4 linked regions of the Rhinolophus ferrumequinum genome follow. The protein of the gene in region 2 purifies or fractionates together with the protein of the main gene of each other region. This does not show direct contact. Links are inferred from orthologs where the notes say so. Each region holds a gene or a part of one and is shown on either strand. Other genes may lie near its edges.

The links.
Region 1: the proteins of SIN3B (region 2) and GATAD1 purify together in Homo sapiens (affinity purification with mass spectrometry; 5 studies listed by BioGRID and IntAct, with this or other methods). This does not show direct contact. The link is inferred for Rhinolophus ferrumequinum from reciprocal best matches to the Homo sapiens genes SIN3B and GATAD1.
Region 3: the proteins of SIN3B (region 2) and SAP130 purify together in Homo sapiens (affinity purification with mass spectrometry; 3 studies listed by BioGRID and IntAct, with this or other methods). This does not show direct contact. The link is inferred for Rhinolophus ferrumequinum from reciprocal best matches to the Homo sapiens genes SIN3B and SAP130.
Region 4: the proteins of SIN3B (region 2) and SUDS3 purify together in Homo sapiens (affinity purification with mass spectrometry; 3 studies listed by BioGRID and IntAct, counting the BioPlex papers as one, with this or other methods). This does not show direct contact. The link is inferred for Rhinolophus ferrumequinum from reciprocal best matches to the Homo sapiens genes SIN3B and SUDS3.

Annotation. Positions count from the first base shown.
Region 1 is NC_046303.1:33,776,652-33,783,864, reverse strand, and holds the start of GATAD1 (GATA zinc finger domain-containing protein 1), read left to right. Parts: upstream 1-4,204; 5' UTR 4,205-4,230; coding exon 4,231-4,482; intron 4,483-5,238; coding exon 5,239-5,364; intron 5,365-6,924; coding exon 6,925-6,984; intron 6,985-7,213. UniProt on the Homo sapiens protein: Component of some chromatin complex recruited to chromatin sites methylated 'Lys-4' of histone H3 (H3K4me), with a preference for trimethylated form (H3K4me3).
Region 2 is NC_046301.1:50,221,639-50,228,511, forward strand, and holds the start of SIN3B (paired amphipathic helix protein Sin3b), read left to right. Parts: upstream 1-3,857; 5' UTR 3,858-3,875; coding exon 3,876-3,977; intron 3,978-4,212; coding exon 4,213-4,319; intron 4,320-5,294; coding exon 5,295-5,448; intron 5,449-6,873.
Region 3 is NW_022680440.1:1,123,372-1,130,833, reverse strand, and holds the start of SAP130 (histone deacetylase complex subunit SAP130), read left to right. Parts: upstream 1-4,453; 5' UTR 4,454-4,543; coding exon 4,544-4,615; intron 4,616-5,411; coding exon 5,412-5,529; intron 5,530-7,462. UniProt on the Homo sapiens protein: Acts as a transcriptional repressor. May function in the assembly and/or enzymatic activity of the mSin3A corepressor complex or in mediating interactions between the complex and other regulatory complexes.
Region 4 is NC_046308.1:11,715,446-11,722,497, forward strand, and holds the start of SUDS3 (sin3 histone deacetylase corepressor complex component SDS3), read left to right. Parts: upstream 1-4,039; 5' UTR 4,040-4,598; coding exon 4,599-4,740; intron 4,741-4,838; exon of another isoform or gene 4,839-4,923; intron 4,924-6,656; coding exon 6,657-6,726; intron 6,727-7,052.

The sequences.
Region 1 (7,213 bases), on a different chromosome or scaffold from region 2:
GCAAAATTTTCAAAGCACTGAAAACTGAAACCAAACAAACAAAAATCAAAGGCAGCTGAGATTTCCTCAGGAAACTACAGTTGGCTGGTCCCTGAACCACAAAATGAAGCGTTCACCTGCTCTTCCAAAAGCTTTCCTCGCTCCTAAGCCCCGGGTCATCCAAAGGACAGGCAGGCACTGGGACTGCAAGCGAAGTTCTGAGCGACAGTTAGGGGAGTGGCAGTTGGAGCGTGGGGTGGTTCACCAACCTCACCACCTAGGAGAGGGGCTCTAAGTCCAGTCCATCTGCCCGGCCTCATGATGGTCAAATAGTCATGGCTGATGTATTTTGTGCTGAGTCTCAAGGAGGCTTACATCTGAATCTCCAAAACCAATTCCATGTCAGGGAGTGTCCTGAAGTCTTAGCAAAAGGCTTCTGGAGGATGTGGCGTCTTCCCCATCATGTCATCACCTCTCCCAAGCAGGAGAAAGATGCCTATGAAACTCCCCAGCAGGGATCCTGCACATTTCTTTCACATAAGTGACTGGTTTATGATTAGTCAGGTGTTAGTTTTCCTGGTGGATAATGACGACGGTGATGCCCCCCCATGATACAGGGAGATGTCCACCCCAGGCTGCCGGCCAGGGGGGACCTGGGGAGGCCTAATTCAGGCTGTTTGTGAGAGACGTCAGATGATGAAGTGGCGGGTAGCGAGGAGGGGAATGGGAGTAGACACTTGCCCTGAATGGAGACTGTTGCTGAGAGAGGCTCATTGATTTATTAACCCACTTATTAAACTGCTACTTTAGTGCATGCCTGCTGTATGCAATGCATGGGAAAGTAAGAGACACAAAGAAGAAAAAAGCAAACTTCCATTCCTCAACCTGCTCATAGTCCGGTGGAGGAGACACAGGTACAAAGGTGTACCCTAAGGTAGAAGAAAGGAAGAATCACAACAGGAAATATTAATAGCTATTTCAGTCAGGGAGTTGGAGAAAGGGGGTAAGACTTCTGGCATGGAAGCTTCCTGAAGGGAGTGATGCATGAGCTGATTCTGGAAAGATAAGTAGAGTCGGGTTTAAAGTGTTGCGAGGAAGCATATTCCAGGCAAAGGGAACACCTTGAACCGACTCCCGGGTCTGGGAACCACGGAGCACACATGCAGAACAGAAAGGAGTTCTGTTAGGTTATAACCTAGAAGGTATGAGTGCAGTGGGAGACAGAAATATCATGATGCCCCTCCTGAGGATAAAAAAGGAAAAAGAACATCTGCCTTGGCTCTCTTCCCTTGTACCTTCTTACGGTTTCATAGGTCTCACTTGTTGTCTCTCGGTCCAGTCCACGATGTCTCTCTTTAGTTTGTTAATGTTAATAGGCAACTTCAGTTAATTACATTTTTTTCAAGATTCTCTGTGGGAGGGGGAGGGGTATAACTAATGACCAGTCTGGTGGGAAGAAATGGTGCCTCCCCCTTCCCCCCCCACCTCCTCCTATCTTATCAGCCTCAGAGTTGATGTTAATCAGGCACTTACCAGATGTAGAAGTTGCTTACAACCTCACAGGTACTAACTCATGGAACCCCCACAGCAACCTTACGAGCTGTGTTATAACAGGTGAGTAAATGGAGACTCAGTGGCAGGATGCCCCTGAGATACCCAGGACAGGGTCGGAGTGGTAAGGGAATCCTGCACGGCCTGTCCCCACCAAGCACAAAACGTGGTGAACAGTATCTCTTTGAAACCAGCTTGTGATATATTTTACGCATCTGCTCTTTTTTTCACTTTAAGAGTTTTAATTAATGAATCATGCAACACTTAAATCGTGCAAATTAGCCTACATGTTGACATTGATAATTCCCGGGGGAACTGTGCTTTATTCCTTTCCCTTAGTGTTAATTTTAAGACCTTGGGAGGTATTTATTTCTGTTTTCACAGCTCACTCGCTCTCTGTCTCTCTCTCTCTCTCTCTCAGATCTCCCTCCTGACACCTTAGGCAGCCCTGGGGCTTGACCACTGTGGCTCATGCTCTTCCTGAAAGGCCAAGGAGGGAGCAGGGAATTGGGCCGGGGCCTTCATTTACAGTGCCTCCCCGAGTTCTTTTTCCTTACCCATTTTCCTCACCTCCTGACCTGACCCCCCATCACCTCCACATAGTCGTCCTATTTGTCCTCACAGCACACTACTTTCGTTCACTCTAGTACTTCTGCATAAGCATTTTGTGATGCTACAGCTTTGCTGCTTAAAGGAGAAGCCCCACTTATTCACTGAGAACTACTATGTGCCAAGCACAATAACGGATCATATCTTCACACAGCCCTGGTGTGGACAACACCTTCCTCGCTTTACAAAAGAACAGAGCTGCAGTGAAAAGGTTCAGTTGTCAGGCTTTGAAACAGGTACTGTTCATTCTATACCACTACCTCCAGCTGGGAGAGGAGTTTTAGGGCCAAAAATCTGCCTTTATTTTCTTTTCCGTTTGATAGTTTTTCCTCCTCTCCTCCTTCTTTTGTTCTATTTCCTCCTCCTCCTTCTAATTAAATTTTAAAAATGCATGCATGTGGTGGAAAATGTTCAAACAATACAAAATACAAAAGGGTACAAAATGAAAAGTGGAAGTCTCCCTTTCTCACCATTTCTGTTGGCTACAATTGTCAACAGTTTCTTGTCTAAATGACTAAAAAAAGTACACATCACAGACACGTAGCTTTTAATTTACACAAAGTGATCATATTCTATACACTGTTCTATAAATTGTTTTTTTCCCTCTTAAATTTATATTGAAGTATAATTGACATGTGTGGAGACAGAGCCAGGAGTGCAGATTCCAGGCTCTCGGCCTCACGTGGAAAGGTGCTGGCTCAGATAGTAGATGGTCATCAGCTGTGACTGGATGGCCATCAGCTGTGGCTAGTTGGCCATCAGCTGTAACCAGTGAGTCATTGGGCACTAATATAACTGCCGTGGCTACGCTAGCAAAAAATGGGGGCTAGCAAGAAGATGGTGGCTGAGCTAGCAAGTCCAGATTGCTGTTAGCACAGCAGATTGCAGTTAGCAAGGGGTTGGTTGGTTGGCAGAGAAGTGGAAGGCAGGTTGCGGATCGTGTGGCTCCTGCTTCCTGTGTCTCTACCCCAGCCGCTAACAAGAATATAGTTGTATGACTCCCCTATCTATGGCTCCGTGGCTGTTCCTTTCTGGCCTGTCCTGTGTTCTTATGTGGGGAGCGGGACCAGAGATCCCGCATGACACCCTGCATGACAACATGTAACACTATATTAATTTCAGTTGTACAACATAATGATTTGATGTTTGTATAGATTGTGAAATGATCACACAAGTCCAGTTAACATCCATCACCATACATAGTTACAAAATTTTTCTTGTGATAAGAACGTATAAATTGGGTGGTTATACATGTGGATGTTGACCCCACCCAGGATGGTGTCCTTTGGTGGAAAGGAGCTGGTGAGCTAAGATCCAAAGTTTTCAGTGAAGAGAGGGAGTAACTTGGAGATGAGGTGCAGAGGGGAATACATTACCAGAAGGCTTCAGAAACTAGGAAGCATGGGATTTAACAGCTAGATAACCCCTCACAGAGTGCATTGTTCTAACTCATATGAACAAAACTACATTGGGGTCTAGATTATAACTTTTAAGAGTGTAAGGAGGTCCTGAGCAAGAGTGCCAGAATTAGAAAGTAAAAGTATGGGACGCCAGCTAAATTTGAATTTCAGGTAAACACACATATTGCATGGGATACATTCATATTAAAAAATTATTCGTTGCTTATCTGAAACTCAAATTTAACTGGGCGTCCAGTACTTCACCTGCCAACCCCAGGCCTAAGGCCAAGAAGTTCACGAACCACTACCCTCACAGGAGCCGGCAGCGCGCTCCTAGTAATTCCGGGTGGGACACTTCCGGTCAGGTGGGCGGGCCAGCGCGGCGCGGCCCCGCCCATCGCCGGATGCCTCCTATGGGCCCAGGCCATGCTTTCCTCCCAGGCCGGGCACCGCCCTGGCCCCGCCGCCAGGCGCCTCGGGCGATCCGGGACTGGTGTTTGGCTCCCAAGTGGTGGAATCGGCTTCCTGCCTCCAGGGGGCAGCGGCCGGGGACGGGTCCTAACGTGGATAGCTTGGCGCCCGCGCCGCTCTTACAGTCGGTGGACGTGACGGGCCGACCAGTGGGCGGCCAGGGCCGGCGGTCGCCATTCCCGTGTCGCTGCGCCCGCGGGGGCCGCCCGAGTCGGCCACGATGCCTCTGGGCCTGAAGCCCACCTGCAGCGTCTGCAAGACCACGTCGTCCTCCATGTGGAAGAAGGGCCCGCAGGGGGAGATCCTCTGCCACCACTGCACGGGCCGGGGCGGCGCGGGCGGCGGGGGCGGCGGCTCGGGGGCCGCCAGCGGGACGGGGGGCAGCAGCAGCGGTGGGGGCTTCGGCGCGGCGACCTTCGCCAGCACCTCGGCCGCTCCTCCGCAGAGCAACGGGGGCGGGAGCGGCAAGCAGGTGAGCTCCTCCGGCCCCTCCCGCCTGCGGAGGCCAATCGGGCGGGGAGGGGGCGGGCGCGGGCCTCCGGGACCCCGGGACCCCGGGACCCCGGGACCCTGCTGGGCCGGGCTGCCGCCCTCCGCCTCTTGAAGAGATCTTAACTGGTTTGGCTCTAGCACCTTGTGAAAAGTTAAAAATCTAAAGAAGCAAGAAAATTGAAAACCCTTCAGAAATCCCCCTATTGTAATAATATTTTGGGTAGCAACCAGGCATCTCATTATCCAGTGGTACATAGAGACCTAAACGGTGTCATGCTTCTGGACTTCTACCCGTTAATAAAGGCTATTTTGTCATTATATCGTGTTATTATATTATGTCATTATAAATGGCAGCATAAATATTCCATTGTAGGAGGTGGCATATCTAACTCTTCTGGCGTTGGAGAGTTGAGTTGTTAAGGATTTTTCTCTGTTACAAGCACAAATATATAGTTCTTGCCTTGACCTAGACTTGCTCTTCTGCCCTTTGCTCAATTGTTAGCAGCTCACAACTTGTTAAAAGCTCTGGAGGTGCTTGCCTAGGGCCCTCCCTGTTTTAGCTCAGTTCACGTTATTACCCAGCATAAAAATAAAAGGAATTATGTATGAGTATACTTAATTTTTAAATGACTGTATAAAGTGCATATACTCTGGGATCCTTGTAAGATGGTTCTATGGGGACAACAACCTTTCTACACTTTTTATTTCTCTTTTTTGTTCTTTGTTTATGTAACAGAGTAAGCAGGAAATTCACAGGAGGTCTGCTCGGCTCAGAAACACTAAATACAAATCGGCTCCAGCTGCTGAAAAGAAAGTTTCCACTAAAGGAAAAGGGAGAAGACATATTTTTAAATTAAAAAATGTAAGATGATTGTGGACAGTGTCTTTTACTGTAATGGCATTGTGTGTGTAGTAGTGTGTCTTGATACTGCCTTCATCTCTTCTCTGTGAACTTTTCCTCTTGGGAGCTCTTATTCTGGGGAGTGGTCCAGATTTCCTAAAGAGGCTGAGCTCTGTCGCAGGAGGCTTACTTTTGCAAAGTTAATACCCTTTCTTTTTTTTAGCTTTTATTTTTCCTCTGGAAAAATATAAAATATGAGTCTGAAAGAAACAAATCTTGGGTGCATTTTATTGGGTTCTTTATGCAAAGGATTATGGTTCTTGGTAAGGCCAGGTACACTAGGAAAACTTTTTTTCCATTATTTAAAGATCTAAGTAAATGGTATTACTGGAACTCATTCATTTCCATATTTGTTATCATAGCCGCAGAAAATGCATGTTACTGACTTACAGTCAATTTGATGAATCTGAATTAAAAATTTTGCTAAACCTTTACCTGTTCTTCTGTTGTAAGAAACTAGATTTTTGAAAGACATGCTGGGGGTAATTGGAAGCACATTTTTGGTGCAGTAAATTTTCATTGTCTTTGTAAATATAAGGGGGCAATGGTCAAACACAATGCACTCTATTTTTTTAAACCTCAGTATGGTATTCTTTCCTTTCAGAACAGGAAGGGTTGACTTACCAGTAAAGCCATTTCTGAAGTTAGGCATATTTCTAAAACATAAATGGGCCCTGCAGTATATTGTGGATTCTTACTGAGAACAGTCCCTAATTTGTCTTAAGATTTTTATACTTTAGTTTTCTAAAAATGAGGCATTTGTTGACTAGACAAAACATGTTAAGTAAATATTCGTTTGATTATAGTTGTATCCTTAAATTCATGTTTTCTTCTTAAGTATCAGGTAATATGTTCTTTAATTATTTCAATATCAACTTCTCTAGCAATCTCTTTAAGTATGATACTAAGACATATCTGGGGAGGCCTACTTTCTGTGTTGTGGCATAAAAGTGTGTATTGCAGCTTAAGAATGGGTTTCAGCGATAGGTGGTGGCAGATTACTAAGAACTCTGAAGGAATTTTCTTTCAGCCGTAGTTCAGGCTTTGCTAGAAAATGACTTCTGATGATACTGAGTATCGTGTAGTTCCATAGTTAAGTTGAGATGGAAATTGCTAGGGAGACACTTTTTCACTTTTATGTTCAGCTACCCATTTTTATTCCGCTCTGTCTTAGGCCATTAGAGCTAGTATATTTTTATAATTAAAACGTTAATGTGTAAGAACACATTATTATGTGAGGGTTTGTGTTAGCTCTCAGCAGCATAATCAGAACTTCTCCTCTAGTTCCCAGCAATTTTAAGCTAATGGTAGCACAAGTAGCAGTGGAAATATTCAAACTGGGCTTTGCCACAACATTCAGAAAATCAGTTATCTTTTTATTGCAGTTTTGTCACCAAACAACAAATTTGGTATTTCTCAAATTACAGAACTCTCATATATGGCTGGAAAAAAAATGCCTGTGTACATAAACACATACACAGTATGACTGTGCTAATATTTTTACTTTTGTTTTTTTCATAGCCCATTAAAGCTCCTGAGTCAGTTTCCACCATAATCACTGCCGAATCGATCTTCTACAAGGTAAACGTGTAGAGTTACCGAAGAAAGATTTGAGCCTGCTGTGTAATGTGCTACTAAAATGTTGGGTTAGTCTGAAAGTCTGCTTTTCTGTAAAAAGTGATTGTGAGTTTTGTTCTTTCCTAAGCTATTTCCCCCAGAGAGACCTGTTATAAAACGTCTCATCCAGAGCTGAGGGGGGAGGGGAAGTTGCCTATTGATATGTGAGGATCTTAAGGATTTTTTAATGGAG
Region 2 (6,873 bases):
TACCACTCACACTCCAGGATGGGGATTAGATGGGGCGCACACACCAGGGGTGAGAATCTCGGTGTCCATCTTGGAATTCTGCCACAACACACGGTTCAGGACGTTAGAGATTTTGCTCATAAAGTTTGCCACTTGGGAAGACTTCAATTAGTTCAAATAGGCTATTTTGACCTTGTCTTCTTAATCTCACCAAAATACTGTCCAACAAAAAACCTACATAAGAATCTTACCTTAATGTGAAATTTGACAGATGGTAAGGAAATTTGTCTTCCTAAGCTGGTCTATCTAAATTGTCAACTCTGAGGTTTTCAACTTAATCTGTGTAGATGAGTGTGGGGACAGAGCCCCAGAGAGCAGTTCCCAGGCTCTCGGCCTCACATGGAAAGGTGCTGGCTCAGGTAGTAGATGGTCAACAGCTGCGACTAGTTGGCCATCGGCTGTTACCGGTTAGCCATTAGCCACTGATATAACTGCCGTGGTTAAGCTAGCAAGGCGTGTCGTGGCGTGGCGTCCTGACGTGGAGTGGCATGGCATGGTGGAGTGTGGATTGCTGATTGCAGAGAGGCGGATTGCAGCTAGCAAGTGAGGTTGGTTGGCAGAAACAAGTGGATGGCGGGTTGCAGATCGTGTGGCTCCTGCTTCCTGTATCTCCAACCCAGCCGCCAGCAAGACTATACTGGTATGACTCCCCTATCTATGGCTCCGTGGGTGTTCCTTTTTGGCCTCACCATGTCCTGTGTTCTTATGTGGGGAGCGGGACTAGAGACCCCCGCATGACACCCTGCATGACAATGAGAATAGTAAAGAAAAAAAACTTAGCAAATGTCTTATGCTTTATAAAAATAAGAATGGAAAAATGTACGTGTGCTATTGTCCACATGTTGACACATGCATACAAACATTCACATACAGATTCTGGAATAGCATAGGGACAGGAAATATTGCCGTGACCATTATAGGACAATACCTCCCGCCACCCAGGACACTTACCTCGGTTTAACATGGGGTGAGGAAGGCTTCCTAGAGGAGGTGGCATTCTAGTCAAGTTCTGAAGGATGTGTACACACACACACACACACACACACACACACACACAGTGGAATTGGTTTGTGGTTGCCTAGCCTCCAAATGAATGAGGGCTTCCTCTGACCATACAAGACCTATGAAAAGACTGGAAAACTGAAAGTGAGCCTTAAAATTTGAATAGAATCACCCTCATTGGGTGCAGGGGGCATTGTGTGAGGAACCCTTCGACATGCCACATGCAGTTGGTCCTCCAGGAGAGTGACTAAGAGGTTGCCAGGCAGCGTTGGTGTGAAAAGGACTGTTCAGACATCTGGTAGCCTCAAAGGGCTCAGTCCACCTTAGCTGCTACATAGAAATGTGCTGAAACCGAGCAGAATTCTTTCTGGGCTGGGAGCCATGAATCCTCACTGCTCCTTTCACCTCACCCCCAAATCCACCCAGCATCACATCCTCTCTGCTTTACCTTCTAAATGTTGCTACCTTCCACCCGCTTCTCTCCACCTTCATCGCTCCCATCCTGGTCTAAGCCACCATTGTCCTTTGCCTCTATGAGGAAACAGCCTCCCTGCACCTCCCTGTCTCCCCTCCACTTCCCTGTAGAGTATTTGCTTCCAAATTCAAAACTACTCAAGTAGCTCCTTGCATAAGACCCATGCACAAATTCTATTCTATCAGGATAAGTGTTCTGCCCCCTCTGGCCTCTCCACACTTATCCTGCACCTTCTTCCCACCGCCACACTCCCATGCCATCTGAAAACACTGGTCTTCTTTTGTTGTTGTTTAAGTTTAAATATGACACATGCCTTCCCATCACCGGGCCTTTGCACAACTGTTCCCTCTGACTTTCGTAGTGAATATTACACATCCTTCAGAACTCAGCTAGAACGCTATGTCCTCTGAGAAGCCTTCCTCAGCCCCTGCTAGACTGGGTTAAGTCCCTGCAGTGGCAGAGGATATTTTCCCCACATGGTCATGGCAGTATTTCCTGTCCCCCATGCTATTCCAGACCCTGGCCACTCCCCAGCTTCTGGAGTCCATTTGCCCTCCTCTTCAATTTGGGAGGGATTTGGTCATGGCCACTAAGGAAAGACTGCAATGGAAATGATTCCATGTGACTTCTGAGGCTGGATCAGAAAAGGTGATATATGGCTTCCATCTGGCTTGCTGGCTCCTCTCTCAGAATGATTGTGCTTGGAACCCAGCTGCCCTGTTGTCAGGAAGCTCTGGCTGCATTGGGAGGCTTCATGTAGGTGCTCCTGGCAGCAGCCCCAGCTTGGGTCCCAGCCTATAGCCAGCAGCAACCGATAGACAGGTGAGTAAGTAAACTTTCAGAGGATTCCAGCCCCAGCCTTCCAGACAGCCAGCTGACACCAGTGGGCCAGAGATGAGCTATTTCTGCCCAAATTGAAGATTGGAGAACAAAATAAATGTTGGTGTCATTCTAAGTCTCCAACTCTTGGGGGGGTTTGTTACAGAGCCACCGTAACTGGAACATTACTGTTATACCTGTACCTTTTCTTTGAAGTATCTGCTATAGTTGAAAATTTACACTTGTCTGTGTGATTGTTTGATTCCTATCCTTCTTCAAAGACCGAAAGCTCTAGGAGGGCAAAAGCCTTATCAGTTTTATTCACTATTCTATTGCTGACACGTAACACAATGCCTGGTAAATAATGAACTCAACTGCCAATGTATCCTCAGCTTTTCTGCACCTCTTCATGTATAAAAAGAGATGCCATTTGGTCATTGATTGAATGTTCATTCATTTGGTAAATGCTCACTGATAAGGCTCTGTGTCAGGGATTAGCGTTAGAGGTGAAGCATGAAAAGATGATGGACAAAGGACTGTAAGAGGGCACAGGAGGGGTCACTTTAGTTGTTTTAAAGGATGCATAGGTGTTTTCTGGGTAATAAAGAGATAGAACAGAGCTTCTGCCACGGGAAATGGTGTGTGCTGCTGCATGGGGCCAGGAAGCAGCCAGGCTGGGCAGGCATTGGCAGGAGGAGGTTCTGCACAGATAGGGCAGGTGGGTGAAAAACTTCAAGGAAAGGTTCGTCAGCGCCAGGTTCTGATGGCTTTCAATGCTGCATGTAGGTGCTTAGATTTCAACTCACAAGAAATAGGAAGACTTTGGAAGCTGCTTTGGAATAATTCCAGTTCTTGATAGTACCAGGGCTGGTAAAATTGGATAAGTGGCTCCTGAACGGGTCCAGCAAGGAAGTGATGGGTCGGTACCAGGGAAGTGAAGGTAGAAGGAGCAGGACTAAGTCAAGAGCCATTTAGTAAGAATTTACCGCTTAGGGCCCTGTGTTTAGGCTGCTTTGGGCCTATACTCCATTGTCCCATCAACCCAGAGAAAGCAGGGCTCCACCAACTTGTTTAGTAAATATATCAGACTCTACGGACTTCAGGATCTGTCTCACCCACTCACCCTGCTGCTGTAGTGCAAAAGCAGCCAGAGACGGCAGGTCAGTAGTGAGCATGCACGTGTTCCAACAAACCTTTAACAGACATTGAAATTGGAATTTCGGAATTTTCACGTGTCACAAAATAGTCTTCTTTGTTGGATTTTTTCTAACGTTTACGAAATGTAAAAACCATTCTTAACTTGCTTGCGGAGCCAGACAAAAGCAGGCGGCAGGGCTTGGTTTGCCCACCTAAACTATGTAAGGAATTCATCGCCTAGTAGTACTTCGGTTTTAAGGGTAAGAGCCTACAGCGGGGTCCCTCAAAAAGCCCCGCCCTCCCTGACATCATCAGGCCGCGCCCCCAGGGCGGAGCCTGCGCTTGCGCCGCTGGCCCGCGGGCGGGGGCGGGGGCGGGGCGGGTCGCGGCTCCGACTTCCAACATGGCGCACGCTGGTGGTGGCGGTGGCCCCGCGGGCCGTGGGCTGAGCGGCGCCCGCTGGGGTCGCTCGGGCTCCGGGGGCCACGAGAAACTGCCAGTGCACGTGAGTGGCACCCCAGCCCTCCCTCGGGGACCCGGTGGTCCAGCCCCCGCTGGCCCGCGCCCCCTACCCGGGCCCCGCTCAGCCCCACCTCGGCCTCCCCTTCGCGCGGCCCGGGACCCTCGACCCCTCACCTCGGTCCCTCGGAGGCCCGGCCCGTCCCCCTGCCCCCCAGGGACCCTTGCCCACCGTCCCTTCCGCTGATCCCGGCCCACCGGGACCCTCCCCCTCCCCGCAGGTGGAGGACGCCCTCACCTACTTGGACCAGGTGAAAATCCGCTTCGGCAGCGACCCTGCCACTTACAACGGCTTCCTGGAGATCATGAAGGAGTTCAAAAGCCAAAGGTACCCGCGGGGCCCCTCCCCACCCCGGGGGGCCGCCATCGGGCTGAGCGGGGGTGAGAATCCCCCAGCTGGGTGACCTTGCGCAGGTCGTGGAACCTCTCGGAGCCTGAGTTCCTTCCTCTAAAAAATGAGAGTGGAGAGTCCCTCCTTGTGGAGCTGTTGTAGGGATTCCTGGAAGGAGGACAGGTACGGGGTGAGGCAAGAGGCCAGTCTGACCAGCACAGAGGCAGAGCCTTTCTTCAAAAGATTAATTTTTAAATGAATCTTGTTCATCCAGGACTTTTTAAAATTACTTTTTTTCAAGGGTTGTATTAAAATGTTATTTATCTTAGTTATTGAATGTTTTGGCGCCTTCTTCCCCTTAAATTTTGTCCCCAAGGTGAATGCCTCACTTACCTCACCCTAGTCCCAGGCCTGCTAGGAAGTTATGTGCATAAAATGCTTAGTAAGGGACCTGGCATTTTCAAGGCATTTAAGACACATTAACTGTTTTTGATAGCACAGAATCAGGAGAATTAGAGATCCACCGGGGACCTCACGCTCATGCCCTTGTTTGACAGGAGGCTCACTGAGGCTTAGAGTGGACTGGTGCAGGGACAGGACTAGAACTTGGGCCCTCTGACTCTTAGATTCTCGACTGTCACATCCCCACCATGCTGCGTCTTCCTCTGAGGAAATATGGCAGGGTTGGTCTGGTTTCCTTCCACAAGCCCGATGCGAAGGCTTTGGCCCTGACTGCAGGCACAAGAAAGACCCCATCCCTCTGTGGTTCTCCCCAGGATGGCACAGGGAGCCCTGGTCTAGCTGCTTTCAAAGTAGATCACAGTCTGCAGAATCACCCCAGTCACATTTTAGGGTGCTTTGTTGCCAGTGAGAAACTGGTTATGGGGCACTGTCACGGGAATCAGAAATAGATTTTGTTTTTAATTGGCTCCCTGAGACGCTTTTGCCCATTTGTGTTCTTCTTTGTTCCAGCATTGACACTCCTGGAGTCATCCGACGCGTCTCACAGCTCTTCCATGAACACCCTGACCTCATTGTTGGATTTAATGCTTTCCTTCCCCTTGGGTACAGAATCGACATTCCCAAGAATGGCAAGTTAAACATACAGTCACCTCTGTCTAGCCAGGTATGCCGCTGCAATGATCCGAGTAATCTCGGCCTTAATATGGCCCGCCCTGGTCCTCAGGTTGGGCAGCACGTGTCATGTATGGCATTGCTGGAAAGCCAGCACAAATCAGAATAGATCAAAACACCTATGCAAGCAGGCTCCGCTTCCAAAAGCAGTGCGTTTGGAGGATTTAAATCAAGAGTAGATCTGTTCGTGCATGTCCTAACAGAGTTTTATGTCCAGTAAAAATAACTGCATTCTCCGTGGCCGAGGCCTCGGTTTAAGGCCTTCCCGGTGAGCGCACGAGGTAGGCCACACTTGTATAGGGCATGTGGTCACTGATGCCACCCACAAAGTGAAACAGTTGGACTGTGGGTGTGGATGGTCATTTTTATTGTTGCTGTGATGAATTTAATTGCCAGCCAGCTCATTGGCTTGGCTCAGGCTTATGGCTTTGGTCCCTTCTCTCTCGGTAACAGTTTGCTGCCTCCTCTCTCTGCAATCTGAAAGCCTATTTGAGCTTTACTTTTATAAGGTCACCGTTTTTTCTCTACCTCGGCCCTGTTGCCATTTAAGGTGTAATGCTTTGCTGCGGAGTGTGTGGCAGGGGAGTTGTCCAGATCATTGGGAGATATTTAGCAGCATCCCTGACTCTACCCACTAGGCCCTCACCTAGTGGAGACTGTTAAAAATGTCACCAGATATTGCCAGCTGTCTCCTGGGAGCAAAATCCCCCCTCCTCTTCCCCCCCCCTCCCCCCCCCCCGCCCATTGAGAACCACTGGTCGAAGTGAACCAGCTCTCAGCCACCTCCATCTCTACCCTAGGGGTTTTAGTGGGGAAGTAAAAAATCTACCGCAGGAAGCGTTTTGCATGTTTCTCCTGATGAAGGAGTGTCCTGTCACTGAGGGAGTCAGATTTGGAAGAACAGCAAGAGGCCTATGCAAGACAAGCTCCATCTTCATTCAGCGTGTTGTCTTATTAAAGCGGAAAAGTGCGTCTCAGTTTTAAAAAAGGAACTTGGAAGCCTGCGGCTGCTGAATTTCAAAAAGCTTCCATTTCACGTTTGCAAATGGAGCCCCAGGATCCAGATGTGGGACTCATGCCTCCAGAGAGAAAAGCTTTGGCAGGATTAACCTTCGTAACAATCACAGTCACTGCTGGGGGAGAAAACCAGGCTCATTGGCAGTAGTGTACATGGAGCAGAGCACTTTGTGAGCCTGAAGTGCCGGATCAATGCGGGGTGTCGTTCCCAGGCCTGAATTGTGCTCCCTGTGTGGAAATGGCCTTTCTCAATCCCTAATTGTTTGAGTTACTCCGCTCTTGAGAGAGGCACAGCAGGGGCCCTCCCCCCATGCCTTGGGGGTCCTAGCTGTCCCGCACACATTAGGGAGGGCTGCTGTAGAGATATCAGACCAGACCAGTCTTGTCTCCTGGGTGGCTT
Region 3 (7,462 bases), on a different chromosome or scaffold from region 2:
CTTTTCTGTCTTACAGCTTCAGCCTATTCCTGGCTCAGCTTTCTTATGGGATTCATGGGGCTCAGGCTTTTCAGCTACTGCTCCTTCTGATCTCTCTACATCACTTTCAAAGTCTAGAGAGATTTGAGAAGGTTGGTTAGCTGCATTCATTCTAGTACAGACAGAAATTTCCTTCCATCAGCCTATAGAAGAGTTACCCTAGGATCAGATGCCATCCCACTCTTGGTGTACTAGTTAGCTATTGCTGTGTAACAAATCGCCATAAACTTAGCAGCTTAGAACAACAACCTTTCTTATCTCGCCATTTCTGTGGGTCAGGAGTTCAGGCCTGTCTCAGCTTGGTCCTTTGCCCAGGTATCACAGGCTACAGCTGGACAGGTATCAGCTGGACTAGGTTCTCCAGTGGAAGCTCAACTAAGGAAGCATCAGCTCCCAAGCTCACTCAGTTGGCAGTATTCATTTCCTTGGTGTGTAGAACTGAGGCTCCAGCTTCTTGAAAGTGTTGGGCTGGAGGCCACCCTCAACTCCTGGAGGTTGCTTGCAGTTCCTATAGGCCACCTGCAGTTCCTTGCCATGTGAGCCACATAGGAGCTTCATCAGACCAGCCAGTAGAGTCTCCAGAGTGAGTCTGGCAGCAAGGCAGTCTTATATAATGTAACATGGTCAAGGAAGTGACATCCTCTCATCTTTGCCACATTCTATTGGTTAGAAAAAAGTCACAGGTCTTGTCCATATTCAAGGAAAAGGAATTATACAAGGGCATGAATATCAGGAGAGAAATCATGTCGGGTCATCCTAGGGTCTGTCCACAACATACCACACCTAGCATAGATGCATTTGGGGTGAGGACAGTGGTACAGAATGTGGTGCCCAGACGAGACACATGCTGAGTTTGGCCTGGGTAACAGACAGGTGAAGGTTATAAAAATAATGGATATAAGCAAGTTCAAAAACTTCACAATCTTTATATGTGTAGCTCATTTAATCTATACAATCAGGTCAAGATACGTAATAGTATTCTTGTTTTACAGATGAGTGAACTGGACGAGACTAGGATTTCCCTGACTGGGGACTGGCCGGGGCGAGGGGGGGTGGGATTTGGACGTAAAGGAACCACAAAGAATTAGTTATTTGCTTTTCTCTAGATAATCACCCAGCAGGTGTGATGCCTTTTGGTGTCTGTTCAATCCGTTCAAACTACCTTGTGTGGACAACATCGTTTTGAAGAACCTAGGATACTAATAAGCCCCTGAAACTGGTCAGGGACTTCAAAACCTGAGAGGTGTGAAAGGTTCAACCTGGCTGGGGCACAAGGAGGCTGTCTTCATCACACCAAGCTCAGTGGATGGGGATTCTCAGCCCTAGCAACACAACCGTGGGTGAAACATCTATTTTCCTTCAAGAGTCCACTATCTGAGGGACTGGAGACTTGGGTGATACTGTCTGTCCCTAGTTAGTAAGGAAAACTCAGACTTCATTCATGTACTATGATGTGCTTGTGATTACACTCAGTAAACATTTGTTAATCCTTCCTGTTGATGGAGATATAAAGAGTGATTTCTCTCTCTGCCTACTCCAGGAGGAATACAGAGCAGATAGTGTGGTGCTGTGACAGGGGAACTGGAGAAGTTCCGTGAAAATATCCCGCAGGGCAGGGGAAGGCGAGGAATTCAAGGAAGGCTTCCTGGAGAATATAAATAATTTTCTTTCCAGGTAGGCATCGTAGAACTGGCAGCACTCTGCTGGCTGATTGCTGAAGGTTGAGGCCTATAGAAGGAACTTCAGACTTGAGCAAACCCCTAGGGCCAAATTGTGTGGAGCATTGGTAGAAACTATTGTTGAGAGAGCATCCAATGTTTGGAGAGGCAGTAGGGACTAAATTATTAAGGCCTTTGAATACAGGGCTTAGAGGTTTGGAATATATTCCAAAGTTATTACAACATCATGGATGGAAAGGACAGGCTCAGTTTAATGCTTCAGAAAAAGAACTCTGTGGAGGACAGATTGAGGGTAGGAAGCGATTTGAGTTGGGGCAGCACTACTATAATCCAGACAAGAATAATGAAAGCTTGAGCCGAGGCTATGGAAGTGAGTAGAAAGGGGGTAGAGAGGTATATATGGTGACTCTGGGAGATGGAAGAGTGGAAACAAGAATAAAACTAAAGTCAGAGAGGATGGTGATGCCATTAACAAAAACCAGAAGTCAGGAGTGCAGAGAGGAGGCAAATCAATGTGTTCAATGTGGTAAATTCCAGGGACTTGTAAGACACATATGGACTGGTACAGCAGGTGGAACTGTCAGTGTGCAACTCAAAGAGAGTCACCGTGTACATAAAATTTTGTCATTTTCAAGAATTATATTTGAAAGTGTAAGAGGGTGTTAAACAAGTTAGGAAGACAGTATAGAATTAAAAGAGGGTTGGAGTCTTAGAAAATGCTATACAGTATCTGTGAAGGAGGGGGGATAATGGAGATTGATAGGAATAAGAGTAAAACCAGGTGAGAGGGTGGTTATAGAGGCCAAGGGAAGAACACTGTAAAGAGGAATTACCGTCAGTAAGCTAGACAAGATGACAACTAAGGACCACCGGGTGAAGTTGAGTAGGTCACTGGCAACTTTTAGGGAGCATTTTGAGAAGGGCGGCAGGAGCAGAATCCAACAAGGGTGGAGACTGCCTAAGGAGACGAGGCTAAAGTGTATTGCAGCAGCTCTTTCAGAAGAAATTTGGTAAGGGAAGAAAGGAAAATGGCTTGAGGAAAGAGGATGGGTATTTGACACTCATTCTAGCAAGCCGTTATCTTACACAGCTGGGCACGATAGAAAGAAGGGATTTACGCCCCGTTTATTTAACTAGTCACAAAACTCCTGGTCTAAATTGTTACCTTGGGAAGGCAGGAAGGGGGACGTAATCTTTATTATCAGACCCAAAGTTTGCTTCAGCAGCTTTGTCTAAGACTTCTACAAGTGTATAAACTCCGACCCTTAAATCTCCCCAAAATAATAACAACAAATCAACACCATCCCCCCTTCGCTTCTTTGCAACTGGAAAAACTGAGCAGGTGCACAGTACCCGAGCCCTGTGCCAGGAACCGCTATCCGAGCCGGCCTGGTTTAACCAGAGGGTGCTCGGCTCTGGGGCAGGCAAACCCGATGGAGTCTCCCCAGATCGGCACCCTGATCCTCCCACGGTGCGCAGGCTTTGCGGTCCGTGGCCTTCGGTGGTGTATTAAGGCCCACTCGCAGCGCGGGGAAGCGAGCTTAGTTAAGAAAACCCTCGGCCGGCCTTGCGATGACCCCCTTCCCCGCTGCAACCAGCCTTCTCCATTACCCTGTTCCCGCGCCGCACTTCCCTCGGGAAAATGAAAGGCATCGCTGTCCGCTGAGGCAAAGGGGCGGGATCCATTATCTTTATACTAGGCAAAGAGAAAAGCCAGGGACAACTCTAGACAGCAAAAGGCGGTGTTGTCTCCGGGAGGCCCCGCCCAGGCCCGCCCTCTTGGCGCCGGGACTACATTTCCCTGAGGCCTCCGCGACTACGGGGGGCGGGCCCGTCCGCTCTCCCGCTCAGACTGAGCGATGACTGGCTTTCCTGGGTGAGGGAGGTGCCTACTACAGCCAATAGGTGAGGGGCTCGTTACGGCGGCGGAAGCAGCGGCGCTGGGCTGAGGGGTGGGGGGCAGAGTGCTCGCGCCCCGGCGGCGGCGGCGGCGGGTCCGGAGCCGAGGACGTCGGCCCCACAGGCGGAGAGCGCACGGCAGCGAGCTCGAGGCGGCGCGGTGGCCACTCGGCGCAGCACCCAGGTAATGGCGGGACAGGCGCCCGGGAGGGGAGGGGAGGAGACGAGGGGGCGGGGCGGCAGAGCCGGGCTGCAGCGTCCGTCCCGCTGCGCGTCCCCGGGGAAGGGCAGCGGTGCCGCGTCTCCGGCGGCTCAGACCTAGGCTCTGTGGCAAGCTGGGCATGACGGTTGGGCCAGTGGCAGGGGCCGGGTGTCCTACGGCAAGGAAAGAAGAGGCGTCGGGCTGACTCGGGCTTGGGGGCGTGGCGGGCGTGGGCCTTGGCTGGGAAGCAAAGCTGCTGGGGAGCGCGGGCGGGCGGACACCCTGAGAGTTTGGCTCCTACAGGACTTTAAAGTGACTCTCCACATCCGGGCCCTGCGCCCGCCGCTTTTAGACCCCGACCGAGGCGGGGCCTCCCAGTTCTCCGCCCCCCTCGCCGGGAGAGCTGCTCTTTCTCTGCTATTGGCTCCATCTCGAGGAGTTTGGGCTACGCGGACAAGGCTCGTGCCTGATAGGTTGGCAGTCGGCGGGAGGGTGGGGCGGGATCAGAGCGCGGAGGCCGCGGCGGATTGGTGCCGGCCCTGGAGTGACGCGCCCGTCCTGGGGCCAATGGGCGGTCGGTGGAGGTAGGGGCAGGTTCGGGAGAAGAGGACTGGAACAGAACGGCGGCGGGGTGAGCGGGGCCGAGGGGCTGGACAGCGGCGGGCCTGAAACGCGCTCCGCACGAGTCCTCTCCACGACCCCGGAATCTAGCGCTACCACCGAAATGGGCCCTACACGGCACCCCCAACCAGGCGAGATGGAAGCGGGAGGGGCGGGCGGCGGGCGGCGGCTGCAGGTAAAGGCTCACTGCTTGTCCTGGGGCTCCCCGGAACGCCTGTCCCTGGCCCCCAGACGGAGTCTCATACCCGAAGTGTCTGGAAACCTGTGTTCTCCGATCTCAACTGGGGTGGGTGGGGGTGGGGTTGCGGGCGAATCGGGGATATCGGCATAGCCTGGCTCCTGAGGGAAAAGTGGGCGGTCGATTTTAGAGAAGGCAGTGAAGATCTTGGGTCCCTCTGGCTCACTGGGGGTGGAGGGCTGTGAAAAATGGGGGGAAGGGAAATGGGTAAGGGGAGGCCTATGCAAAAAAAAAAAGCATTTGAGAATTCTTGGATCAGGTCTTAATGTAAGGTTTCTGATTCTTAGGACAGGACATCTCTTTTTTGATCCCTCCTATGACTTACTGATGACAATGTTCACCTTGGTGTGAGGGTTAAGTCTTTCAAAGGGACATGACATTTGCCATAAAACTTTACACAGACACATGCGTATTGTGTTGATGTATTGTGGCTGTTGTGTAGGATTCAATATTGATTTTTGTGGCAATCCACAAGTATTTATGGAGGGTCATAGTATCCCCCCACCATGTTACCTGTTAACGATTTTACTATTAATTGAACCTATCTCCATCAAAAACCTAAAGAATTTAGATCATTTCTGAACTGTATATTGATCACAAGTAATTGTTTTAGATAAATGATGTTGCATTTGCTTTTCTGAGGGAAGATATAGGTATTAAAGATGCTTTAATTTCTCATTATAGATTCTAATCTCAGAATCCAGTAATAACCATATGACTGTATGCTCTGCAGGTGGAAATGAGTTCTCAACAGTTTCCTCGGTTAGGCACTCCTTCCACTGGGCTAAGCCAGGCTCCTTCACAGATTGCAAACAGTGGTGCTGCAGGCTTGATAAACCCAGCAGCTACAGGTGAGATATGTGACATTCTTCTATATTGCTTTCCACTTTAAAAAATATTGTCAGTTTTCTAATCTAAAAATTAGCAAATTCCTTCTGGGATTTTAGTAAATACTAATAGGTTATCAAATTTAAAGAAAAGACATATGGCAATTTTAATTTAAACAAGGCTTTTTCATTCCTGTTTTAATCACTTCATTTACATGTACTAGAATATACATGAAAGTTACGGTGAGCATGCCAGGAAGAGCTATTTTTTAAATATATTAATGTCTTCTCAGTTAGTTGAGGCCAGAGGTATGGTAATCAATGCCATGAGCGAACCCAAAGGTGTGTAAGGCATAGGTCTTGCCTTCTTTACTATCTAGGAAAAGAGGCTAAAAACAGTATGTATACACATATGTACAGCTTGATTTTTACTTGTAGACCCTTGGAGTGCAGCAGATCAGTGGTGCTCAGTGGCATATGATTTTGCCTCCCAGGGAATATTTGACAATGCCTGAATACATTTCTGGTGGTTACAACTAGGAGGTGCTATTGGCATCTGATATTTAGAGGCTGGGGATGCTGCTGACCATCCTACAATGTGCAAGCTGAAGAACTCCAAATAGTCTCTTTCTCTATATATAGCCAGTAAAATGATGGCCCTGCAACCCCCTGCAGTGAAGGCCAGGAGCTTGTCTGTCTCATGCACCTTTGTATGTATTATGCTTGCTATATAGTGTAATGCACAAAGTAGTAGTCAACTAGTTCTTGTAAAGCCACTTATGTTCCTTACTCCTTAAATATTTTGACACTATTTTGTCTTTGGTATACGTTCACAGCAGAATAATTTAAAAGCATAGCTAAAGAGAATATTTTTGAACATCTGTTCTTTGCAAAGAATAAACTTGCCCATTTAAAAAGGTGTCAGCCATCAATAATTGCCCTCAAATTTTGTTGAAAAGGAAATCATTGAGTTAGACCAAAATTGTGTATAATTTTACTTCTGAATAGTGTGTTTTTTCATCAGTGGCTCAAAAAAAAAAAAAAAAGAAAAGGAAAGAAAAATTTTCTGTAAGCAGTTAGATGTTTTTTATATTTCCTATTGCTCTTATCAGAAGAAGTAACTTGGGATCCTAAGCACGTGAGGATTTCAAGTATATGTTCAAAGTTCAGAAGAATAGGTTACAATCACTTCTCTTAACTGCTGCTTCAAGATTCTTTTCTGGTAAAAATAAACTGAAATCGAGAACTTAAAATGTCTGGAAAGAAATGATAAATGGTTCCAAAAAGAACTTCACAGGAGGTGGTCAGAACATTATATCTTAATGAAATTGTCAGAAATCAAAGTCTTCCTGGACAGATAAGTTTAGAGGGAAGTTATGAAATTGTCCATTTCCCTTAAAAACTTAATTAGGGGAAATCTGTTTGGACAACTGGGGAAAGTTAAAAATAAATTGATAATGGAAAGACAGAAGTAAAACTGTCTTTATTCACAAACAACTTGATCAAGTATGCAGAAAATATTAAAGAATGTAAAAAGCTGTTAGAATTAATAAATGAAATTAATGGTTGCAGGATAAAGATTTAATATAAAAAAAATCAATTCTATTTCTAAATACTAGCAATGAACAGTGAAATTTTTAAAGTGTTTACAATGGCATAAAAAAAAACCCAGAAAATTTAGGGACAAATTAACAAAATATGTATAAGACTTGGAGTTAGAAAACTATGTAAACATTGCTGAGAGAAATTAAAGACCTAGATAAATGGAAAGATCTGTCATGTTCATAGATTGGAAAACCCAGTATTTTTAAGACACTAGTTCTACCAAAGGGATCATACAGATTCAGAGAAATCCTATCAGGCTCTTTTGTAAAAATTAACAGCCTGAATCTAAGATTTATATGGAAGCCAAAGGACCTAGAATATCAAAGTAATTTTGATCAAAAAAAGAAAGTTG
Region 4 (7,052 bases), on a different chromosome or scaffold from region 2:
TGCGTTGTACTTAGGAGACGTTTCATTACATAATCCCTGGTCCACAGAGTAACCCCACGGAGTCACGGGGGCTCAGAATGTCCCACGCCTCACACGCTACCCTTAGGAAGATCGGCTGACGGCGGACCCTGCGAGCAGCACGGTCCCCTCTTCTCTGCGCTGCGGGCTGTGCTAACTCGCCCCGCGCAGCGACCAGGACCCAGGCTCCCTCTCCTCTCTCACGCAGGGCCGGGCACGATCAGAAGCCCCTCTCGCCGGCCCCCCGTTGTCCCGGCCCCTGTCGGGAACCTCCCCCGCAAGATCTGCTGTCCCAGCCCCTCTCGAGGTCCCCTTCCCCTTCAGACCCGCTGTCCCAACCCCATCAGACCGGCCGTCCCAGCCGCTCTCGGGGACCCCCACCCTCAGACCTGCTTTCCAGGCCCCTCTCGGGGACGCCCCTCAAACTCGCTGTCCCAGTTCCTCTCGGGGAACCACCCCTCCTCAGACCTGTTGTCCCGGCTCCTCTGGCGAACTCCCCTCAGACCGGCTGTCCTGGCCCCTCTCAGGGTCCCCTCTCCTCAGACCCGCTGTCCCGGCCCCTCCTGGGGTCCCCTCTCTTCAGACCCGCTGTCCCGGCCCCTCTCAGGGTCCCGCTTCAGACTCACTTTCCCCTGCCCCTCTCGGGGTCCCCCCTCAGACCCTCTACCCCAGCCCCTCTCGGGGATTTTCTCTCGATAGTCCGGACTGTCAAACCCGCTCCTGGAACTCCCCTCACGCGGGTCCTCGCCGACCTCATTCCGCCCGTGATCTCCTCTCCTGGGCTCACGCTGTCACCGCCCCGCGCCCCGGTGCTCTCACCTCAGACCTGCTGTCACCACCCGGGCCCGGCGTCGCCGCCGCCGCTTCCTCTCCCACACTTGTTCCCGAGTCCCTCTTCTGCCGCTTGTCCCCTGGCAGATCCCTTGGTCCGGTCGCTGAGTGCTGGGTCTGGCCGCGCGGAGCCTCCGCCCGCAGTCTCTGCGTCGCGTCCCACTCTCTCACGCAGAACCCCGCCGCCGCCGGGCGCCACACGGACCCTCCCGCGGCCGCCGCCGCTGCTGCTGTCCGAGGTGCGGCTCTTGCCAGGGGTGGCCAATCGCACCCGACTGCGCCGAGCGCGCTCCGCCCCACGGTCTCAGTCTGCCCGCCCCCGGCCCTCGACCACGCCCCCATCTCGTCTCCGATAGGCTCTCTACTGACCTTCCTTGATCGTCGGGCACGGCCTGGGGCCGCATATAGGTACTTGATTGAAGGTGCCTGGGAAGCCGAGCGGTCGATGGCTCCTGAGGATTGGCGGAGTTGACGGTGGGCGGGACGGGGCGGGGCGGGGTTTTTTCGGAGACGGAAGACCTTGCAACTTCAGTTACCCCCTGGCCGGTCTGGGGTGCGGTCACCGTTGTTTGTACTGCGCTGGGTCAAAGTTCGGGCACTCCTCCCTGAACCTTTACTTTTCTTGGGAGACTACCAGAGGTCAAGACCTTCTGGGACTCTCTGGACCACCATGTTAGAGTCTTTGAGGAGGTCCCCATTCTTCTGCTAGACCTCGCACAGCTTCCTCAGTAATTCTGCCAAAAATTAATGTAACATTTATTCACCGAGGACTTGTAAATATTTCCTGGATTTAAACTCTTTTATATCTTTGTCAAGGGAGTTTCACTTCCTTTATTGCGTTCAGCAGACGTCAGTTTAGTGCTCTTGAAAAAAGAAATCTATATACTAGATGCAGACTCTGCACAACTAAACATTCAACACTGATGGGACACATTTTGATAAGTATAAGGACAAAGCTTTAGAAATAATCAGTTTGTGGGTTTTGATCATCATGACAGGCGGAACAAGAACTGTGTGGCAGTTTTAGCAATGTTTTAGCAAGCCTATACAACATTTTTCTGTGCGAACTAATGGGCAAAGTATAATGAACTTTGAAGTGTACACCCTTTGATAACCAGAGACCCATCTTGATCCAAACTGAAAGATGGGGCCTGCTAGGGGTGAAAGTGCATCATGTGACTCAGAACCATTCTTTATATTTTTGTGAAACTGGATATTTTGATTAAATAATATCAGAAACTGAAAACAGCTACCCTCACCCCTAAACCCCAAAGTTTATGGGCTGGAAAATTTAGCGTTTTATGAAGAAATTGTTTCATTTCAAGGACACAATTTGATCTTAAGCCCTGTCAGATGTATATAGGACTTAATTCTCAGAAAACTCCGTCATTAACTCTTTTTTGTGTTAATTCCCACTGACAAAATTTGTGTTCTAAACATTACACATATTTTCCTTAGTGTTTTAAAATCCTACCCCATTCCAATTAAGATACTCCTCTTTGAGTGTTAGGGTATGCAAAAAGGGCCTAGGAAAATGGGGCTGGCAGGACTTGAAGACTAGTTTTGAAGTAGATGTGGCCTGAGCAGTGTGCTGAATGCCATTTTGGGAAGGGATGCAGAGAGATTTCAAGGTGGTAAAACTTAGTTTTGAGGGAACTTGATTTTTACAGGCTTAGAGAGGCTGTCGAAAACCATTATATTAAAACAACTATCAAGGTTGGGTAAGAGAGAATTTTTTTGACTATGTCCTTCTCTAAAGAGTATTTATTAATTAAGAGCTCATTCTACCAATTCTAAAGTTGGCAATATGGAAAAGAAGAAATGGGGTAAGTTCCCACTACTCAAATGTTCAACTGTGTCTATTCATATAAAAAAGAAATGCATGACCATTACAGATGCTATTCGCAATAAAAAAAACAGAAATAAAACATAAGCAAGACAAAAATCCCAGTGTCTTGAAACCAATTAGTAACGAAATCAACTTTTAAAAAATTCGTTATATCATTGAACTCTAATTTCTAAAATGGTGCTTTCTCTGGTCTATGATTATTGCTACCAACAGGAACTCAAGTTGCTCAATATACTTGATTACAAATAATTTTGATGTGATCTAAGAGCATTAAAAAAAAGAAAATGATGTCATCCTTTGGACAAGAGACAGTTCTCTAATCCTAGTTTATATATAGACAGTAGACCTACAGTGAGCTCTGAGAATGAGTCTTATTTAGAAGGAGCTTCAGAAAAATCTCTGAAGTCCTGGAAAGACATCACAGCATTCTATTCTGGAAATTCTTGAGTTCTGTTGGGAGGAAAAATCCCTCACAAACAGAGCCAAGATTTTAATTGACAAGGTAGAAAATAAGAAATGTTAAAATAAATGGGATGAGAATAGGTTTTTTTCACTTTGAGAAGACTCTATGGGGACCTATTCAGAGATAAACATGGTCACAAAGGATCTGAGAAGCGTAATATTGGATTCCACCCCGTCTTTTACACCGTGATCAACTTTACTACTTGTTACTTTTTCTATGGAGACTTGGTGCAACATAAATAGTAGTGTTTCTTTGGACAATCCATTAAACATCTATGGGCCCTTTTCCTTATCTTTTCTTGCTACACACAACTAGACAAGGGACATCTAAATTTGTTCATTAAGCAAAGCTTGTAACACTGTGTCCCCTTCTACTGAGAGGGAATCACATAAATTAATTCATGCAGATATTCAGCTAAGTTCCCACATAACACCTTCCCTAAGTTAGCTTAATAAGTAACTTCCGGTAGGCTAATGTGCCATTTGAACAGTTGAGAGTTGGTTAGCAAGTTACTGAATTGGGGAAAATCACCTTAAAAAAACTAATATTCTAAGAAATATGAGGCAACTGTATTATAGAGGGCCTGGCTCAGAGTCTAAACAAGGCAGGCTGGATGCAACCATTTTTTGTTTTTTTTTTTGGGCAAATGACAGCTCTTTTCTCATCTGTAAAATCGAGAGAACATCATATTGAGTAAACCTATACAAACAGAAATGACTCCCACAGACTGCGGAAATACCATTTTGCTGACCCCAGGATGGAATATCAGCATCCTTGTCTTTATTTCAGTTCTCAATAAAGCTTCATTTAGTCAGGGGAGGAGCCAGGCTCCTTTTCTTCGGGATGATCACGCAAACTCTAGGCGTCTAGGCGTCCCAATCTATAAAGGCATGGATTAATGTCGTTCACCTGCTTAGAGACCACCTCCAACCGCCAAGAGCCCTTCAAACCCTCTACCTCTCAGGTCGCTAACGATTCTCACTTTAGCACTGGTCCCAGGCGCCTCCTGGCGGCTGTTTCCGGAAGTAGCCTCTGAGTTTCGGGGTCCTGGCCGGGGCCAGGTCTGTCTAAGGATTTACCTAAGTGTAGAGACCTCGTCTCCGCCTTTCCCCACTACCCGTTGAGGATTTGACGACGGCGATGAAGGGGCTGGGGTTAATGCGAAGGAGGTGTCTGGCGGCCTCTCCACTCCCTGAAGGATGGCGGAGTCAGGCGGTCCTCGGGCAGCTCGCGACCCGGAAGTCGCCGCCGGCGCGAGGCCCCCGTTGCCGAGCGCGGGCGCGAGGGGCGGAGCTTGGCGGAGACTGGGAAGGGGGTCGCCGCGGCTCCCGCTCGTCAAGTTGGCGGCTCCCTGAGGCGCTGCTAGGCGGGCGTTGAGTGTGCAGGGCGGGTGGCCGCGGTCCCCGGGTGGCGCTCTCGGCTGTTGTCAGAAGCGACATGAGTGCCGCCGGGCTGTTGGCTCCGGCTCCGGCCCCGGCTGGAGCGCCGCCGGCTCCGGAGTATTATCCGGAGGAGGATGAAGAGCTGGAGAGCGCCGAGGACGACGAGCGCAGCTGCCGGGGCCGCGAGTCTGACGAAGGCGCGTCCTTTCGCTCTCCAGGCAGCCCGGAGTGGGGGTGGGACCGCTGCGGGAGGGGCTGAGGCTTTGCAAGGAAGAGGGGCGGGGCGACGTGCGGGACTCGGGGCAGCCCGGAGGGACAGCTGGTCGGAGCGGGGCTCCAGCATGGTACCCCTACCTGTACAGGGCAAGGGGAAGCTCTGGGTACGTTGTACCCTCCAGTTATGGGAAGAAGGCACTTAGGAAGCCGTTGTCACAGCTGCCCCTCTACTCCCCGCCGTCTCTGCTTGTACCTCAGGTCTTCACTGGTTGGAATGAGAAAGCCTTCCATTGCGCAGCCCTGCCTTTTGAGTTCCTGAGAGGGTTAGAGCAAAGCCCACTTTGGCTTCTTGGTTCCCCCGTTGTTCCCCGTCTCCGCTCCCCCACCCTCTACCCCGGGGAAATGCTTCAGTCCGTCAGCCCTACTTTGGGCGGTGCAGTACAGGTTGGTTACAGGAATGGGACCTGGAATCAGGTTTAGGTCTACATGTGGCTCCCTTAACCCAGCTTTTGACTTTAGACAACTTCCTTAAGCCTACGAAGCCTCAGTTTTCCCAACTGTAACGGGGCTTCCGAGCGTAGGAATGAGAACTAAATGAGTTGTGCACGTACAGTAGTGTACTGGTACTTGAAAGCCTGGGACTCAGGACTAACTCAGTAGATGTTTTCACGGGGGAAATAGGCACAACGGAAGGTAGGGATTTGCTTAATGGTGCCCCGGGGTTATGTTAAGTTTCACGCTCTTTGCATCATCATCACTGCCTCTCTGCCTTGCTTTTCAAACTGGGCTTTAGTTTGGCAAGTGTGAGGAAGACTTTTGGAGGGATTGAGGAAGGAGCTGGCTGGAGGAGGAGAAAGGTGAAGAAACATAAAGAACAAGGGAGAAGAAAGAGGAGCTAGAGACCAGTGTATGGGTGGCATGTTCTGGCACAAAATAGGGCTGTGGAACAAAAGCCTAGAGCAGCGAGGCTGTACTGTGGAGTATGTTGTATTCATCTCAGTTCTAAGTGCTGAGTACTGTGGCTGGCACATGACAGGAACTCCGTGAAGGTCTCTTGACTGAAGGAGGGGAGATGGGTTTGTGGAGAATTGGACCTTTAACCGCCTTTAAAAAGGTATCTGTATATGCAGATATAAAGTGGAAGGAACTAACTGCATTTGTTTAAAGTACATTTGAAGACAAGGCTTACCCAGGTATTTTGAATGTGAATCACTTGTCACTTGTACTGTTTCTAATGCCCGCAAGGGGGAGCGATGAAGCCAAAATGGATTTTTTTCCCCCTCTTAGGTAGGGCTGTTGAAATTATGTAGACACTCTAGCCGTTTGCTTATTCTGAGAACAATGTTTAAAGTGTTCTGAAACAGTTTCCGTTTGATCATCTTGTCTCCTTTTAGTTGTAACTTTCAAAATATTTCAGTTCTTAAGAGTTCAGTTCATTGATTCAGATTCTCCTTTGCTTACAGTTGATGTAAAATCTCTTAAGGATTCTAACTGGGCATCTACCAGAAGAGAATATACATATTAGGTTATTTTGGAGTAGTGATCGAGGTTTGCCTGCCTGTAGTTCTCCTCTCTTATGTCTCTTTTTCCTGAACTGCCTGTTCTGCAGAAGTAACAGCCTTGAATGACCGCATGTGTTCAATGCACCGTTTTCTGGCTGTACTTCAGATAACGGCAAGCTCTTTGCATAAAGCTGGTTGTGTATAAGTTGGAAATGGTATTTTCTTTCCTGAAGTAACTGTATGTAACAATTTTCGTTGACTCTTCCCACAGGCCTGCATTGAGTAGAACTTCATTTTACAGAAGACTGTAGTGTGACAGAAGTGTCACTGTGTCAGGTGATACCAACTCTATGAATTATGATTTTAACAAACTCTTCTTCCCTGATTTTATTTAGATACTGAGGATGCTAGCGAAACTGACCTGGCAAAGCATGATGAAGAGGACTATGTAGAAATGAAGGAACAGTGAGTATGAGTTTCAGATTTCTTTTTTTGGAATACAGAATTGACAAGGAAATCTTTGTGATTTGCTTGTGTATATGGCTTTGACCATGGTGCTTCTAAAGACCATGTATTGGTATGTAATTTCCCCCCATTAAATTTGTCACATTTTAATCATTCTTCCTGTTATAACAATCTTTTGAGGGTAAGCTAGAAAGGACATTGAAATGATGTCAGGGGAATAAGGCCATATAACAGGAGAGAACCATTTCTCACTTTATGAGGTATGATAAAAAAAATACAGTACATGTTTAAATTAAAAAAAAAAAACTTATTACAGTAGAAGACAC